Linked DNA regions of Drosophila melanogaster. The protein of the gene in region 3 interacts with the protein of the main gene of each other region in a pairwise test. Each region holds a gene or a part of one and is shown on either strand. Other genes may lie near its edges. The genes, in order: CG10616, CG10257 and bur.

What was found.
Region 1: the proteins of bur (region 3) and CG10616 interact in a two-hybrid assay, tested with the Drosophila melanogaster proteins (one large-scale study listed by BioGRID).
Region 2: the proteins of bur (region 3) and CG10257 interact in a two-hybrid assay, tested with the Drosophila melanogaster proteins (one large-scale study listed by BioGRID).

Annotation. Positions count from the first base shown.
Region 1 is NT_037436.4:12,470,061-12,475,345, reverse strand, and holds CG10616 (uncharacterized protein), read right to left. Parts: upstream 3,619-5,285; 5' UTR 3,510-3,618; coding exon 3,417-3,509; intron 3,325-3,416; coding exon 3,150-3,324; intron 2,800-3,149; coding exon 2,709-2,799; intron 2,640-2,708; coding exon 2,514-2,639; intron 2,421-2,513; coding exon 2,373-2,420; intron 2,162-2,372; coding exon 1,168-2,161; 3' UTR 1,067-1,167; downstream 1-1,066. Other genes in the region: CG10663 (uncharacterized protein), read left to right, coding at 1-42, 100-339. UniProt on the Drosophila melanogaster protein: May play a role in the trafficking of a subset of G-protein coupled receptors.
Region 2 is NT_033778.4:14,940,441-14,945,555, reverse strand, and holds CG10257 (uncharacterized protein), read right to left. Parts: upstream 3,159-5,115; 5' UTR 2,605-3,158; coding exon 2,467-2,604; intron 2,358-2,466; coding exon 2,292-2,357; intron 1,786-2,291; coding exon 1,498-1,785; intron 1,418-1,497; coding exon 1,223-1,417; 3' UTR 1,087-1,222; downstream 1-1,086.
Region 3 is NT_033779.5:21,173,163-21,181,410, forward strand, and holds bur (burgundy), read right to left. Parts: upstream 6,522-8,248; 5' UTR 6,168-6,521; exon of another isoform or gene 5,248-6,167; intron 4,517-5,247; 5' UTR 4,499-4,516; coding exon 4,409-4,498; intron 4,348-4,408; coding exon 4,043-4,347; intron 4,015-4,042; exon of another isoform or gene 3,878-4,014; intron 3,810-3,877; coding exon 3,509-3,809; intron 3,444-3,508; coding exon 3,347-3,443; intron 3,215-3,346; coding exon 2,845-3,214; intron 2,772-2,844; coding exon 2,579-2,771; intron 2,520-2,578; coding exon 2,118-2,519; intron 2,063-2,117; coding exon 1,871-2,062; intron 1,814-1,870; coding exon 1,712-1,813; 3' UTR 1,020-1,711; downstream 1-1,019. Other genes in the region: CG31627 (uncharacterized protein), read left to right, coding at 126-680, 737-970; Mcm10 (minichromosome maintenance 10), read left to right, coding at 6,869-8,030, 8,091-8,248.

The DNA.
Region 1 (5,285 bases), on a different chromosome or scaffold from region 3:
CAGAATTGCCGCAAGGTTTACTACGATTACACAATCACCAAGGTACTAACTTGTGGCTAAAGATTAAGTTATGGAATAACTTATGGTTATATATTTTAGAACATGTTTTGTGCCGGGCATCAGAAGGGTCACATAGACACGTGTGCTGGGGATTCAGGAGGTCCACTCCTGTGTCGGGACACCACGAAGCCCAACCATCCGTGGACCATATTTGGCATCACCTCGTTCGGCGATGGATGCGCCCAGCGCAATAAGTTTGGCATCTATGCCAAGGTGCCCAACTACGTGGACTGGGTGTGGTCGGTTGTCAACTGCGATGGCAACTGCAAGATGCACTAGCATCTGTGGCATCTCGGTGGTTACTTCGTAGACATGGACTTGGGTCCGCTAAGTTGCAGAGGCTGTGAAAAACTAATTTACACTTTAAGTGTTCGAATCGTGCGAGAAATCTTCGCATGATCACCACAACACAATTATTATGTGCTCATTTTGAACTAGAAGTTGCAAAGGAACAAATTCGATTCTAATTTAGACAACCAAATAATTGTGTAATTAAAGTCTAAAGGCACGTACTAATTGAAAGTACTATTACTTACCACTTAATATAGTTACAATTCTAACTTGCCTAATGTACATAACTGAACTCTTAATGTTTTATGCTAAACAATTACTAATGAAATTATTAATTTCTTCTTTAAGGTTAATATAATTACGGTAGGCATAAGTTAAAACAGGAATCTGAGATTTAAGGTTGTAAAATAATTAATAAATTATAAATAAAAAGCCATATGAACTGTAAAAAGTTAAATTGCTGTAGCTTGACCACTAAAATACACTACAATTAACACTTAGATCCTCTTAAATGGAAATAGATAAGGAGAAATTCCCCTATAGGCGTACCAAAGAATCGCAGATATGTATATTACTTATTAGTTTATTATATTGGTGTTAAATGCTGCACAGTTTTGCTTCCACAATAAAACTATTTAACGTGATCCCTATACACATTCTTTTTTTTTTTACTACTACGAGTACACAATGAATTATAAAAACAAACGATCACAATAGAGAGGTGAGTGCGTGGGCACACATGCAATTAATGTATCTGTATAAAAACATTTCATATAAATTGGTTTATTGGTTCGGTCATCCCAGCATCCCAGCTGCCTACCGCTCGGCTAGGACAAAGTGAAGTGCCACGGAGGACAGGAGGACCAGCAGGGCCACTGCGATTCCCACCATGTAAAGGCTGCGCGAAAGTTCCGGCTTTGGCATCGAACTGGTCATAATCCCAGAATCGTCTATGCAATCAGCGTCCATCTTGCAATTGTTGAAGTGCGTATCATCCGGGAGTCCCTCTGCCTCCACGGATATGGTCTCTGGATCTAGATCCACGTCCAGAATCTGTTTAGCCTGGGCCACCACAACAGTTGGTGCCTCGCCACGGAATAAGTACTCGGAAAACTGAACTACTGCTCCGACCGACGCACTGGGACCCTCTGAAGGCAGGCTGAAGAACACACGTCTCGGCGGCTCACTAATGTACAGAGCTTCATTGGTCACATATGGATCGGTGAGTCCATCGCAGTACACTTGTATACGCGTTATCAGCGAACGGAGCACATCGTCGCGTAGGAAACGCTTAACATCTGCTATACTGTTTCGAGGATTGCAGAATACCTTTGAGGTAATAATGCCGCTCATGTGCAGCGTGCCACTAAATTCGCGCACCTTGATGTCCGTCGGTTTGCTCAGCTGGCATTTCATGGGGAGCACGATGCTCGCCCGGATGGTTTCAGTGCCTCCGATGATTCCTTCGGACGCAAGCCGCGGCAGGGAGTCAGTGGTGTTGCTCGAGGCAGTGGCCGTGCCACCTGTTGTCGATGTCGGTTGCAGCTTGTCCACTTTCGTCTTTTTCTTTTTGATATAGGCCTGCAGATCGATGGTGTCCTCGACAACTTCGTTTTGGAGGAATACTTCACTGGCGAGCAGGTTCTTGCGCACCGACACTATCATACTCTGGAACTGGTCTTCGATGTTGACGCGACGCGAGGAGTCCAGTATGGGCAGCACATCATCGAAATCGTAGCTGCACTCCAGCTGAATCCACTCGAAGGGTTTGTCCACAAACCGGAACTCCATATTGGTGAAAGTGCCGCCGCTATCAAAAGAAATACTCATATTATATTTAGGCTAGGAAAAGTCTGAATGTAATCAAACTACCATATAAACATGAACAATCCTAATGGTTAACTAACACATAAAATGCATTCCAAGAAATAAGAAACACAAGGACAAGGATAGCAAAGAAAGTGATTATTGAACATAGAACATAAGTTATGAAAGTACATAGTTCTCAACTTTTTAGTTACCATATGATGCATTTTATGTTTGCCGTAAAATACGTTTTTTTGCAATGTCTAGTTATAAATTGTAAGCGATTCGTTTGGTGAAAGAAAGAATACACATTGAGACCCGTATCTGTGATCAGGGATTACGTTTCCGATACTCACTTGCCATAGCTGTAGTTCTTGCAGAGCACTTTCTTGTCGGCCAGCGAATACGAGAGGAATACGAAATCAGTCTGTGCAATGTCGGTGGTGTAGACGCCAAACGAGCTGTTGCTTTTCAGGAGCAAACTGGAAAAGTAAGAAAAGAGGTCATTTCAAATGGAGACTCATATCATACTCATATAGTTAGTGACTTACTCGTAAATATCTGAAAACAGCTTTTTGGCATTCTTAAATTCGGCGCTCTGTTCGTTTACTACATCGGATCTTACTGAAGACACAAAGATTCCTGCAAAGATAAATAATTCATTAATAATTAATTCTAGATGGTAAGTCCTAAAGCTTCGCTTACTTTCATCTTAGTTAAGTACCTAAGTTTACATTACTGGTTTCACTACCCATTACTGATAGCTTAAAGATTTATCTATGACGAAAGATCAAAAGTTTCGAATTGACAGATTAAACAGTCAAATTGGGTGGGTTAGCCCATATACAAAACATACAAAAAAAAAGGGTTTGGCTAAATTTCGAATCCACGGGAGGAATACAAGGTCCCCATAAATAATATGCCTTAGCATTATGACTATGATTATTTCTGGGTAGGGCAGATAAAACTGCAGGGGCAGCACGCAAACCCACCGATGACGTCAAAAGATCCGGGACACATTTTGCTGGCGCTCAGCCACTGGGAGGCCAATGCCTGTGAGTTGATGTCCGAGATGGTGAGCCGGACCTCCGACAGGTCCTCCAGATCCGCATCCTCCTCGTTGTTCCTGGCCAGGTGGACCACCACGCTCTTGGTGAGATCCGCTTGCTATTTCAACCGAAGCGGATGAAACCAGGAGAAAGTGGAGATTCAGTTGAGCGGGGGAACCAAACAAAATCTACGTGGCGGATGGCACTTACATGGCCCACGATTATCCCGTACGAGAACTGGTTCTCCTGTGCGCATTTCTCCAGGTACAGCTCGTCGTGTTTGCTCAACAGCACTGTGCGCATCGTGGCTCTGGGGTTTCTGTTTACTTCGTAAATTTAATGTTAACTATATTCGTTCCGAAATGACAAATTTTTAGAGCTGGGTACACCCCCCACGATAGTAGCTGTAATCGAATACTTGCTATCGAGGCTAAATTTCGATAGTGAGCGATAGTGCTAAGCTATTCAAATTTGAATTCAATTGCTATTTATTTTCGGATTTTAAAAATAACGCCACAATCAAGTCCATTGACCTTAATTAAATGGTGTTTGGGAATTTATTTATTTTGAATGTGCCGACTATCGATACGCACCAGCTCTATGAATTGGTGTGACCGAAGGTTATATTTTAAAAGTATGGATTATGAGGTAAATTCTTATCGATATTTAACGAAGTTTATTTAAAAAAGCTTGCCATCTCTAGAAAACTGTTAAATTTAAAAATATATTCGAAATTTTAAAAAGTGTAATTAATAAAACAACATTACCCTTTTTTTTTACTAAGAATAACTACTAAATTTTACATGTTTGTCCAAGATTTATTTAAAAAGTGTTTCAAATACCATGTGCAACATCTAGATAATATAATATATATGTTTAACAGCTCCTGGCGAGGCATTTAAAAAAAAAAATAACATTCAATAACTGTATACGTATAAATACGTAAATATACCTTATTTAAATAACTCCCTGAATGTTTATACAAATTTTATGAGAATAGGCACACTTTACTTTTATCAATTAGAACATGATTGAATAGATTTATTTATTAATTTTAAGAAATTGACAAGCAGTAATTTAAAGAAGACTCTTTGATATAGGGTTGTTTATTATTGAAATGTAATTGCAGTTTACTTTTGATTTTTCTTTACGAATCGATAAAGTCCTTGAGTGTTTATTTTCCTAATCTTTAGACACTCGACTTAGGATATTAAGACTTAATTTACCTCCGCGACTGCAAAGCGATGAAAGTATGTATGTATGTACCCCCGTGGCAGGTTCTTCAATTAAGGCCCCCGGCTCCAGCAGCAACATAATCTCCATCTCCATCTCCCAATTCCGCTGCACTGCATCAGCTGCCGTGGGGCGATTACGCACGACGTCTGGCCGAAGAGCGGACCCCATGAGTACGGATCCGTGCCACCCAAATGGTCAAGTGGCCGGTGGACTATGGCGCGAACGGACGCGATCGGTAATCGAATTAGGTAAACAAACACTCCATAAGGCGGGCGTACGTTGATAATGTGTGCATAAGCAAATAGGAGACCGTATTGGGATTGGAATTGGGATTGGGATTGGGGCTGGAACTCTGCGCTGGACGGATGGATTGGATGGACTGCGATGGATGGGGAGATCTCGAGGAGCGGGTTGCGATTGCGGCGGCGATGACGGGCGAAAAAAAACTAAATGAAATTTCATTTAGGTGGTCGCCAACGGCTGCGGACCATCTGCTTGTGTGAATGCTTGATTGTTGAAGTGCCACTTGATGGGGCGAGGGCGCACGCTACTCGCGGGGATTACACTGGCCAAAATTGGGATCAAATGGTTACGAAATATGTATATACCATATATAACACTATTCCATAGAGACCATTGATTCAACTCTTTAAATATTGCTATAGATCTTGAGTAAACTAGTAAAAAAAAATCGTAAAAAATATTTTTAAAAATTTCAGACTTTAATTAAGAACTCTTACTGTCAAGTTAAGACAAAAAAATGTTGTAAGAAGATAATTCTGTTACTTTAAATTATCCCAGAAAACAATGGAATGAAAAATATCTCAGTGCTGAAAGGTTTCT
Region 2 (5,115 bases), on a different chromosome or scaffold from region 3:
GAGGAGACCGAATATGGGAGTATATATTTCAAGTGAATCAATCTATAATATCTAAGCATATATAAACTCTAATGTAAAATGTGTGTGTGTTAGTATTAGAGAGCAGAGCATGGTTTTTAAAGGCGACAGCAAAAGATCGACATATACATACGTGTGTACTGTGAACAGCAATAGTTAATGCAAACGAAATACCAATTGTAACTTCGTAACTCTAATTTTTACACAGAGAACCGTTAACCGAAGTCGGGGGGACGAGGAAATTCTCTTAAAATGCGAACAAAAACATATTTATTTATTTTATTCATTTTCTACTCTGTATTTTTAACAGCAAGCAAACACAATCCGTCTACTGGCAATATAACTTTGTTAAGTATTAAAAAAAAACTTTTGTTTTTAATGCATTCCACTGTACTTACAACAACAACAAAAACATATATATATTTATTATTTTTGTTTATTTGTGATGGCATATATAGTGCCAGCATCTTTTTGTAATCCACATATGAATATTACGAAAAAATTATTAAAATTAGTATATATCAAAAATATCATTGTGTTGCGAAGGTAAATAAAATATTGTGTTTTTAATTGAAGCTAAAGATAAATTTCAGCAAAAATGTTACTTGTTAATGTATGAAAAGCAAATAAAAGAGAACAAATTAAGCGCATATTGTTAAATTTCCAAATACAACGCAATCTAAGAAAGTAATATTGATCAAAGTTTTTGATTAAAGAACATAGCAAGCAATCAATTTAAATGCAAAACAAACAGGACAAACTGAAAAACAATTTCAAATTGCACTTAAACGTTACCGATTTTATTAGTAACAACCAATATTCTTTAGCCTATCCCAATTATTATGTTGTTGTGTTTGATAACCAAGTTCTATGAGTAAGTTTAATTAGTATATAATGATTTTACTGAGCGTATAACATCAATTTGTATCTTCTTCAACTGATGTTTCCGACTAATTTTTTAAACTGGATGCACTTTTGGCATATACTACCAGATGCTAGCAAAATGAAATTGAAAACGTAAACGATAGTTGCGTTACAATTATGCATATAAAGAAAAACGAATAAAGTATTGTATAAGACAAAGTTTATGTTTTAATCAAATTGAAAAGAACTTTCGAAAAACGTTTATTAACAACTGGGCACAAATTCAACAAATGCAAAACGTTATCCTATCGTATCGTATGGAGGAGCCTTCCATTGCCCCTCAGTTGCTGCTCTGCAAAATGGAGACCGGCTCTTGCATAATCTCCTGAATCTTCGCCTCCGGAACTGCCACCCCATTCGCCAGCAGAGTGTGAACGATGCCATCATGTTTATTGCCACTTGAGCGTGCCTGAAGCACGAATTCCGTGTCCTGCAGCAGGAACTTGGTGTCTGTGCCGCCGTGAACAAAAACCGACTGCGATATGGGGGTAATAAAGTGTGTGAGTATGGTGTGTGTGTGTGTGTGTGTAGGTGGCAATAGCCCATTTCCCTCACCTCCTCGGTGCGCAGCTCATCGTTTACGTAGAGACTCAGCGTGTCCAGTTTGAGCATTATTCTATATTCCTGCGGCGCATCGGCGGCCGCATCATCCGTATATAGCCACAGTCGATATTGCCGTGTCATGTCCTCGGTGTACTGGTCGTGCGATTTGCCGTCGATGTAGAGGGAGTACTCGTATTTGAAGCCCGGCGCAGGATCAACGCGTATGATGCAGCGCGTCTGATCGATGTGAAAGGTGTCTTCGCCAACCAGTTTGAACATCCAGTCGCGACGCAGGACTTCCTGGGAATTTGATTAGGAGAAGAAAATTAGGCGGATGAACTTTATAGTTCATTTTGATAGCCCTTTAAATTGTTGCATTTGCTCTACCAGTTTATCACTCATACGCACCGTTGTCTTTGGTAAAATCTTCTATTTTGTTTGTTTGTATCGATTTAATTTATACAGTTCATATGGACTTAAAGTTTAAAAGCACTCTAAAGCACTAAAGCACTTTAGTAAGAAAGAATAAACCCAACGGTGTACTAAACATAAAAACTGAAATGCTAAATGTCGGTGAGGGATGACAGAAGTATATACATATATGTTTAGAAATAATAAGACCCAAAGAATTTAATTAAATATTTTTATCAACTAAATGAGACCTTTTTAAATATCATTCTGCATTGCTGAAGTACGATTACGTACGTACACGACCCGTAATTAAGTTTACCTTCACAATGCAAATACTTTACGAGCTCCAAAGCCACCAACCACCCATTCAGCTCGCTGGGAGCTAAAAAACTTACCCGTCCATTGACCCAAATCATGCGCCGCCCACTGGTTGTGCCATGTTCCAGCTCGATGCGGTACATCTGCGCAAAAAAAATAAAAATTACAAAAAATAAAAATGGGAATGGGCGGATAATTATCGCGAATTTCCATTAAATGTAAGTGGCGGTTTTGAAAAATAATCGCAGGTACCTTGCCATTGATGGGCACACACCATTGAGCCACAATATTCTGTTTGTTATAGCGCTGGTCCTCGGGCACATGATCCTGCGTCATCGTGGGCTGCGTGGACAGATTCTCCAGGCGCAGTGTGGGCGAAAGAAAGGACATGGGTCCGAAGCCTCGTGTCGATCTGGCTCTGGCCCACCGCCAGTCAATCAATAAATCCTATTAATATTTATAGTAATCGCCTTTAAAGTGCAGCCAACTAAATGGGTTACACAAAACCAGAGAAAACCACGTAGGTATAATATATCTATAATATTTGGGAAGTTCAAGGAACTCAAGTTTGTCTAATCTGCAGATCTGGCTGCAATGCACTTTCACTCCACCCCTATGTTTGTGGGCTTAGACCCCGAAATCGGGCTAGAATCTATTCCGCTCTCTGAATTCAACGGGCGGCGAGAAAACCCAAGACCGAACCGCACGTTGTTAGCGCCAATGGCACACTAAACAACAAACCACCGTGTACAATAAAAGCCAAAAGGAGGAGCCAAAGAAAAACTAGTTGGCCCGGCTGGCTGCCTTTGCCTTTTGGCCGGGCTCTCCGGCAGCCCAGCTCAGCTCTGTTCCGTTCTGTTCTGTTCTGGCCTTAGCCTCAGCCGTGCTTCTGGCCGAGAGTCGCGGTCGCGTTTGTCGGTCTGCCAAAGTGCAGAGCAACTACGCCGCGTGGCGCCAAAACAGAGTTGATTTGTTTCCACTAGTCGTGTGCGTGTGGATATGAGGCTGAGTGTGTGTACAGGGAAAGTCTCCTAAGACCTACACGCATATATTGGCCATACTTTAAGCGGCGATCTTTGGAATATAGTTAGCATTCAAGCCGGATACTTGGCACCCTCATACAATCCTATTCCTACATAACTGTAAAGTTTACATACCCAATCCATTTTCTACACAAATATGGTGCTTCTCCTTTTGGTTCCCGTTATCAAGTCTCCACTGTAACTACTTCTCAATACCCCCACCGAGTGTCGCTCGCATAAAAATAAACTTTGCCCCGTCAAGTATGCAATTGTTTCTGCATTGCAATTGGGCTGGCTGACTTTTCGGAATGAGCCTGGTTTTTCGCCAATGCCTCCGGCCTCCAATTGAGCGTAAGCCAAACAATATTCGTGCATACATATTTTATTCTGGATGACAATTATTTGGCCCTGGGGGATAGAGGAACTCACTGTGCCACATGGGCGCAATCGTCGCAAATTTGTCGCATTTTGTTTTGTTGTCATGTTTATGGCGCAACATTTTCTGCCCATAAATACACGCCGAAAATGCTAATGACCGATTGGGGGTGGGTTAGTAGTGGGCAATGGGTGATTTCTTTACGCTGCCAAAAGACTTGCCGCCTCCTATTGGTATTTCAATCGACCAGAAGCGATATTGATAAATGTATTTGGGCCAGATTGGGGTAAGGAAGGAGTCGCCAACGAAACGGGCACATCATATGTCAAATCAAGTTTCCCAGCTCTTGGCTCCAACCCATTTAGCCACCCAAATGTGTGGGTGGCAAGAAAAACATATGCCATCGCACCAGCACGCGAAGGTCACTGACAAAGCGCCGTTTGAAGTCGCTTACAGTTTTAGTTGATGTTGACGCTATCAAAAGGGGCAGAGTGGGTGGCGATGGGCGTGCTTTCGCCTTTCTCTGGATGTGAGTGTGTGTTTGCTGGTGTGTGAAGAAGGAAAGCGTTCGCTTGACAACAACAACAAAAACAGCGTTGGCAGATAACGAAACATTTGACAAGGACAAGGCTGCCCGCCGCCCATCAACTCCCCTATCAGCACGAAGCTCCCCGGGAGGCAGTGTGTTAGTGTAATTATTAGTGCTCTACAAAATAAATAAGTACGTATATTCATGCAAACATTCAGTTTTTTCCACGCTTCCTCGCGGATCCCCAGGCTAAAGCACTATGGGATATCTTGTGGATATCTGCAAAATAAATCTAGTTATATTCCACATCCAATCCTTAAGTATTTTAACTAACTTTGTACACATAAAGAACCAGTAAGAGGAACTTGCTCATGCATATATACCCTTAAAATCCATTTGAATGAAAAGGATCTTATGATTTTGCATCATATTTTTTGTAAATCAAGTTGAATGAGTACAAGGTTATAACAGAAGCTAAATCAAAGATTAATATATGTATATACTTAAAAAAAAAAGTTTGGGTAATATACCCAAATTTAAATTATAAATTCGTTCTTGTATATTATAATAAATAAGATTTAATTTATGTATATCATTTTTGGATTAAAAAATCATGATAAATTATATATCTAAATTATATTTTCTTATTATATGTGACATTGCAATACCTCCATATTTCATAAGGTATTTTGCCCATTTATCTTTTCCAGCCCATCGTGCGCGGTTGCGCTTTTTCGTTCACTACTTTCCAGCTGAATTTACGACCATTCCGCTGGTTGTTCACTTTTTATGCAAATACATGTGGCCAAAAGTGCCGCAACAGACAACATTCGGTGGCGCTGTCGCTGATGATGTCGTAGCCAGTGGAGCCGCGGAGCACGGTGGCAGGAGGTGCATGTAGCGGATTCTCCAGGGGGATTGGATTGCGTGCTTCGCTGGTGTCGGCCAAATGGCACACTACAAATGTCGCCGTC
Region 3 (8,248 bases):
ATAAAGCATAATATCAATAATAGAATCTACTGGGGCAGATTACTTAATTATTCACCCATAGCTTTTGGAAAATATGTCGAATTGTCAATCAAATATAAATTATTAGTAAATCCAATTCTAGGACTATGAAACGCAGAGCTCAAAGTAAAACTTCCGTTGCTTCCAGCACGGATTTCTTTTCACTCTCCGACAAGCCATCGTTGGGAAGAAGACGAGCCCTACTGGCTGCAAAACTTAAGCGTCAGGAACAGAGTACAACGTCCTTTGACTCCAGCACAGGCTCCTACACTTATACAGACGCCACTTCTTTGCGAAAGACCCCCATCACCTTCTCACCTAGCCCGGAGTTCATGAAGACCGCCAAGGCTAAATTAAAGTTAATCGCATTGTATGAAGATCACAAATGCTTGTGGAATCAGCGCAACAAAGATTTCTTCAATTTCGAGCTCAAAGACAGAATCTGGGATGCGATTGCCGATGAAATGAAAGCGGACTCGCCATCTGGGTTTTGGAAACATATGATTCACAAGCTTCGCTATAAAGTTGAGATGGAGCGCATACAAGAGCAGGGTGCAAAGTTTTCGGGTGAATCGCCGCAGCCAAAACTATTTTATTCAGATAATCTGCTGTTTCTAAATCACATGTTTGACCGAGAAGGGGGAAAACCCCCTCGAGAGATTGTATGTTTATAGTTAACGAACAAATCACTTTAGTATTTATTCTACTTTTTACTCAGCCAATGCATCTTAAGCCTTCGGGACCTACTCTCGAAAAGAATCCGTCTAGAAACCTGCGACATGTTCAGGAAAAACGTAAACGTACGCCCATTAGAGAAAAGATGGCTTCGCTTGAGAAGTTGAGGAATCTCCAAAATAGCAAGTTTGTTCTCTCCCGCGACGCTTTTCAAAAAATTCAAAAAATTACTAGTGGCGGTCCCTATTACTTGACAAAAACAAAGATTAGACCATAGGCCTTGATTTGAATATCTCAAAATAAAAAAATGCAATGCAAACACATTTGAATCGATTTTTCGCTTTATTACATTTCTTGTATCATAATCGTTTTGTTTTTCTGGTTTTGCCATTTTTTAAATATTGACGTTTTATATAACAATTCATAATTTTAGCTTACAATATTTTTGTTTTGTATTCTTAGAATCGTTTATGCCTTTTGCCATGAAAACACTTCTCTCTCTAGCAAATATACAATTTTCGAAACTTGTGATTTTGCAATTATTTATTATGTATATTATATATATTATATGTATATAACTAAAAATGCGTAAATTAATTTTTTTTTGTTTGTTACGTGGTTTGTGGGCACATTCCTTTTATCAAAAGGAACAAAACATGAAAATGTACATAAGTGTTATTGGCAAATAGTTTACCATCTGTTTTAGATCTTGATACACATACGTGCATCATCGATATAAAGAACCTGAATTGTTTTTAAATTTCGAAGCGGCAGTTGCAGTTCTGTATTTGCGCCTCATGAATTGCTCGTTTAACGTGTCTCTCTAAAAGGCAGGAGCAGCTGTGAAGTGCTCGAAGGCAAGGGTCGATCCGTCCGCCGTTGGATCTTTATCCTTCCTGACCGTCCATTGATTGGCCATTGTCCTATTATCGAGAGCCCGCCGCTTATTGGTTGGTTGATTATTTTTTCTCTCATCTATTTTTATGAAATGGCTGTTAAAAATTTTGGTTTGAACGCATCATTCCCATTCGGTGGTGCCCGGCGGCTTGGCTGTCAAGTCGTACAGCACCCTCGAGATTCCATCCAGCTTGGATATATCGCGTACAATTTGATTTAGGACCTTTGAGCAGGAAAAGATTAAATATACATTTTTCAGAAAGATTGAAAACTGACTCACTTGCAAAGGCATTTGCACGGATCCGGGCTCAGCCGGCACACCAGTCATAAAGTCGTTCGTTATGAACGGACGCAGCACTACCGACCTTCTGCACGAGGGTGTGCGGTTAATGGGATCGCGGTCAAAGTGCACGGGTATGAGAACAACAGGCATCTGCGAGATCTTCCGGTATAGTCCAGCTTGCATTATGATCTAAAACGGTTATGATATAATACATTTTATTTATTTCTATGACAAATCCACTTACTTCATTGGCAATATCATCGGCTTGCCTCAGCTGCGAAAGAACTACAGTATTCAGTGTGGTGTGCGTAATATCCGTCACTAGATACTGTACGGGTTCGCCGAAGATATAGCACACCCTGTTCACGTTGTGCAGAATTCGCGGTATGATTTTGGCGAGGAAGAGAAGATCCTGCCAGTTGGGCTCCTGGCTCGTGGATAGGCCTACTACGTAGCTATATGACCGTTTATCACCTTGCACGCCCACTGATCGGATGGGCAGCAAAGTTGCCTGGATCTGCGAGTTCGATGAGATACGCATAAGGTCTTTCTGTTCCGCCTCGCTCGTGGCCGCCGTTACGCGGTTGATCAAAGCATGGTTCTTCTGCAGTTTATTCTTGTAGTCTACAATCACGCGGATAATAACCTACAATTAAATAGTATATTTATTATAATAACTTTGACAGCAATTAATTGTTAACATGCCTGAGTTTCTGAGTAGTCCTTTTCCATGTATGCCTCCTCAGCGCAAAGGACGCGGATTGCCAGGCCAGGACCCGGAAAGGGTTGCCTCTCCACAAGCTCTTGAGGCAGGCCAAGATCATTGCCAAGGTCGCGCACTTCATCCTTATGAAAGTCGCAAAGGGGCTCAACCACACGTCCTGCGTTACGAAGCTCTCTGAAGAAATGAATTACAAAAAATAAGCTGATCACTAAAATTTGGTTAGGAATTTAGACTTTTGCTTTTTTACCTGATCAGATCCGTGTCATTGTGGTGCGTTTTGATTGTTTCTGCATTCGTGCTCACCATGCTAGAGGCGGACTCGATCAGATCTGGTCGGAGGGTTCCCTGGGCCAACATAACTTCTTCGGGCTTTAGTTTCAATTCGGCTACTACATCATTGGTCACCTTGACGAATATATCACCAATTATCTTGCGTTTTTCCTCCGGATTGTATGTCTGACATAACATCGGCGTTTCCACCACGGAGTACTGTCCGGGCCTCTTGACCTGCGTGGTGCCTTTAAGGAACGTGTAGCCTTCTTTTCGGACGATTAAATCAATGCCAATATCGCGCAGTGAACGCTCCACCTTTTCACTTTCCTTCTTGCGCATGAAACCTTGAAGTAAGGGATAAAATATTAGGTTTTAAAGTACAAATGATATAAATTCGGTATTCACCGAGTTAATGAATTATTTGACGTAGAAAAAATATAAATGAATAAATTTCGCTAATCTGTCTACTGTCATACCATTATCTACATGCACGGCAATTATCTGATGAGGGTACAAAGCACGGCGGAGCAAAGCTGCACAGACACTCGAATCCACGCCGCCGCTGACCAGGAGCTGTAAAATGTAGATTGTATTGAGATATTCATGTCTTGATTGAAAATTTATTTTCCCAAACTCACCAACACCTTATTGTTGCCCACTTTCTCACGGATATAGCGTATGCACTCCTCCTTTCGACTACCCATGGTAAAGTTAGGTGTCAGTTCGCAGATTTCGTACAGGAAGTTCGATAGCATCTGTTTGCCATTGATAGTGAGGTCCACCTCAGGATGGAACTGTACGCCGTAGATGCGTAGTACTTCATTGTAAATGGCTGTCACAATGCGGTTTGTAGACCAGCCACCAATCTTCAGATTCTCGCCTACCCTCTCAACGCTATCTCCGTGGGTTAACAGCACGGACTGTGTGCGACTGAGGCGACTGCGGGAAACGAAGATGTTATGTTTGTTAATTGCATGTATTAGAATAATTAATGGTAATGATAGATAATATGTTAGGCCACGTGTAGATCAGTTTATAAACTACTCTAAACTAAACTGTTCTTGGCTTTAAAATTGTTCTGGCAGCATTGTATCAGCGCTTAGGTAAACGCATTTAAGCCTAAGCACTTTCTTGTTGCTGCTTGTTTTGGGAATCAATATTTCCTGGCTCACCTAAAGAGCGGGCACGAGGTCTCGATCTCGATATTTTGTTGGCCATCCTCTCGAACATCCTTCTTGAGCACTGTGCCCCCGAACTCTTTGTTGATTAGCTGCATGCCGTAGCAGATGCCCAGCATAGGTATTTTTAGCTTGAACAGATCGGGATCATAGCTGGGCGCATCCTCAGCGTAGACTGAGTTGGGTCCGCCGGAGATGATGATGCCTCGATAGCCATTGTTGCGTATCGTGGCAGCTGGCGTATCCAGAGGAAGGATATCCGTCTCAACGAAGAGTTCGCGTACCTTACGGTCGATAACCTGCGGAGAAACCAGGACCATTTTAAGAAGAGGTTAAAACTACTCTTGGTTTTAAGCTTACCTTGCCGTACTGTGCTCCCGCATCAAGTATAACAATCTTATCATGCCGCAGGCCATTCTCTGCTGTGCCCAGAAAAATGTTTGAGTTCATTTCTTTATCGTTGCAGCACTGAAAAGAGCAAAGATTTGAGTGTCAGTCAAGCAATCGCAGAAACAAACACCGAATCTCGACTGGCTGGTAAACGCGCTTCTGCTGCTTATTTATACTCCAATTGTGGCTGCAATCGACGCTACAGAAACAAGGCTAAAAGCTGGCTAGGAGGTGGGGAAAATAGGTTTCGGATTGGGGCAATCGCGGAGATTGAGATTTGTGGTACAGAAGGCTCACATACCGGCAATATCTTGTGGAGCACTCGCAGAAACATTCAACATGCAGCTGGCCAGGACGCTCTACGATAGACAATAAACATTGGCAAATATTTTCTTGTCACAGAAAGATGATTTGTGCAATGTGGAAAGAAATTTACAAGCGACGAAAAACAAGGCCGAGAGACGCCTACCAAAAATGATTCGCTGTGCATCGCGACGATTACGTTCTGTGGGTATTATTTATTTGACCAAATATAAAACATTTACGTATATGAATAAGCCTATAACTTAATCTTAATAATACCTGTTTATTTAACCGTGGTTAGAATTTAAGACAGAGTGTATTCACAGCCAGCATAAAATCATAGATACCATAGGAAAAAGTGCTCCAAATGATCATAGTTTGGTTTTTTAAAATAATATTAAATAGATATAATTTTTGTATAATTTTGGTCAACAGACTGAATTTGGATTAACAACATGAAAAACGAATTTTTGTGCCAGGAGTATCTGTCAATGCTATATACTTCTACATACTAAAGTAGATTATCAAAGCATGGAAGTTAACATTTAATTTTATAGACACATTTGTCCCATCAAAGAATTTAGAAAAACAGCAGGTCAGGAACATGCTTTTCGAATTCCCGAAGTAATCGGCGACTTAGTACATATATTTTAAAATACAAATTTCGATGCATGAGGATGAGGATGTGAGGAGGAAACGGAACGTAATGGTGATGGGGTCAGGGGGGAGGGCGCCGGCTACTGACCGCCAGATGACAGGCGAAAATACTAAGAGGAGAGTGGCAGCGGAAGCGAGAGAGAGCGAAAGATGAGCGGAGAAAAATGGCAGGTAAACGAAAACAGAGCTGAAAAGTGCACAAGTAAAATAGAAAACAAAAATAAACAACAACAATCCAGGAGACAAATCGACGGTAGCAAGTCTTCTTGTTTGCCATTTATTTTCTCTTGAAGTGTGTAAAAACGCAGCAGCAGCAATATGAAAAGCCTCTCCGAAGGTTAGGAGTGCATTAGGTCACTGAAGCGATGCGATGTCTGTGATGTAAGCCGTGCTCCTCCTTTGGCTCTCTCTCATTTTTGATAACAACATGCAAGAGGTTATCAGAAACGGCACAAACCACAGCAACAACAACTAAAGAGGGCGGCCGCGTGGTTGTAATTTAATACACATGCAGAAGGCACGCACACTTACACACGTGGAGCCGCCAACAAGCGGCGCTTATAACCACAAAATGGCCACGGGATATATTTGCAAAACATTTAAAAAATTGCAAATGCGGAGAACAAAAAATCGCAACAAAAGCAAAGGCAAATGCGGTTGAAGCTAATTTGCGAATTCAACGGGCGGGGTGCGGAATTGTGGGCGGAGCAGCACCGCATGGCGATTTGGCTGGGATCGGGGATCTTTTTCGCCATATTGCGACTCTCACCTTCTCTCGTTTTAGCCTGGCTGCGGTTTTCCAGAACCGGGAAGTCCGTCGGCAAGGCCGTGGAATACCGTGACAAGCAGCGCAAGACTTTGTCTTAAGACGAAATTCGCGATCCGTTGTTTGCGGTCCCCCGTTTTCCTTCCTCACGCACACACTCAAAATTTCTTCGGCTGCTGCAGCTTCTTTTCCGCGTATCCAGGGCTGCTCGACACAGCTGGCGATGAAATCCCTGTGATTTTCACGGCTGCGTTATTATGGCCGCTTCCAGGGACTTTCCTTTTGGATTTCCTGCAGTTTTTTCGCGAATTAAAGCCGAAAGATGACTTATTGACGAGCGGATGACCATATTTCGGATTTGGGAAAAATCCAGCTGTGCTGCAAACGAAAAATACCAGCTGTGAACGTTTTTGGTATTAATATTTACCAAATAAATAAATTTATATTTATTTCGAAAACAATGAAAATTCCTTAATAACATTACATTACTTCTTTATTAGGAGTGCTTAAGTATTCTTTTAAATAATGAATTATAATTAAAATTATAATCTGTTTGTACAGTGTTGACAAACGAGCACTTTTTGTAGAACCATATACATTACCCGGTCACACTGAGCCCGCCAAAACAGATATGTTATTGCGCTTATTTAGAAAACCAAGAAAAAACACGAGAACACGTGAAAATACAAATCTACCCAAATGAAATGGGTCCTGCTCAGAAATCCGGAACAGATATTAGTATCGATGATGAGGAGGAAATACTGGCTCTGGAAAAACTACTGGGTGCAGCAGAAAACGAAAATACAAAATCTGCAGAGTCAGAAAAAGCAAAACCCACCGCACCCATTTTGGTGCCAAAACTACGAGAAGACAACAGTTTTGCTAATGCCTTCACCTTCGAGAAGATCGTGAAACCGGAAAAGCAGAAGAATGCTGCTATCATTAAGGAACCAGAGCTGGACTCGTCCGACGACGAGGAGGTAAAGAACTTCCTGGAACGAAAGTACAATGAGTACGGCAGTGATATAAACAAGAGACTGAAGCAGCAGCAGGAGAACGCCTACGAGTCCAAGGTGGCGAGGGAGGTGGATCAGGAGCTTAAGAAGTCTATCCACGTGGTTACATCCACCCCGCAACCCCTGAAAAATCCGCATAATCCTATTAAACGGCAATCGGCGGTGAGCACCACGTTTCAACGTCCTCCGCCAGTCGCTGCCGCCGTGGCATCTACATCCCAGTCAAGTGCTCCCGTATCTGCTGTTTTTACGGATCCAGTCTTCGGACTGCGCATGATCAATCCGCTAGTCTCCAGCTCACTGCTGCAGGAGCGCATGACGGGCAGGAAACCTGTGCCCTTCTCAGGCGTTGCGTATCACATCGAGCGAGGCGATTTGGCCAAAGATTGGGTCATTGCTGGCGCGCTGGTTTCCAAAAATCCTGTAAAAAACACCAAGAAGGGTGATCCCTACTCCACGTGGAAACTATCCGATCTACGGGGAGAGGTTAAAACGATCTCACTTTTCCTTTTTAAAGAGGCCCACAAATCCCTGTGGAAAACAGCGGAGGGTCTGTGCTTGGCTGTGTTGAATCCAACTATTTTCGAGAGGAGAGCGGGAAGCTCCGATGTGGCCTGCCTATCCATCGATAGCTCCCAGAAAGTCATGATCCTGGGTCAATCCAAAGATTTGGGCACATGTCGGGCCACCAAAAAAAATGGGGACAAGTGCACTTCGGTGGTTAACCTAACCGACTGTGATTATTGCATTTTTCATGTAAAGCAGGAATATGGCAAGATGTCCCGACGTTCTGAACTGCAATCGGCGACCGCAGGTCGTGGTATCAATGAACTAAGAAACAAGGTTTTGGGTAGGTAGACTTTGATTTTGAAGAAAACTCAATATAACTTAGTTTTTTCTTTATGTTAAGGCAAAAACGAGGTATTTTACGGCGGCCAAACATTTACTGCAGTTCCCGCAAGAAAAAGTGCCAAGTTAATCACCAAGGAACGTGATCGTCTGAGTATGCTGGCTGGCTATGATGTTTCCCCCTTCGCCCATACCGCTAACCACACCTCAAAGCCCAAA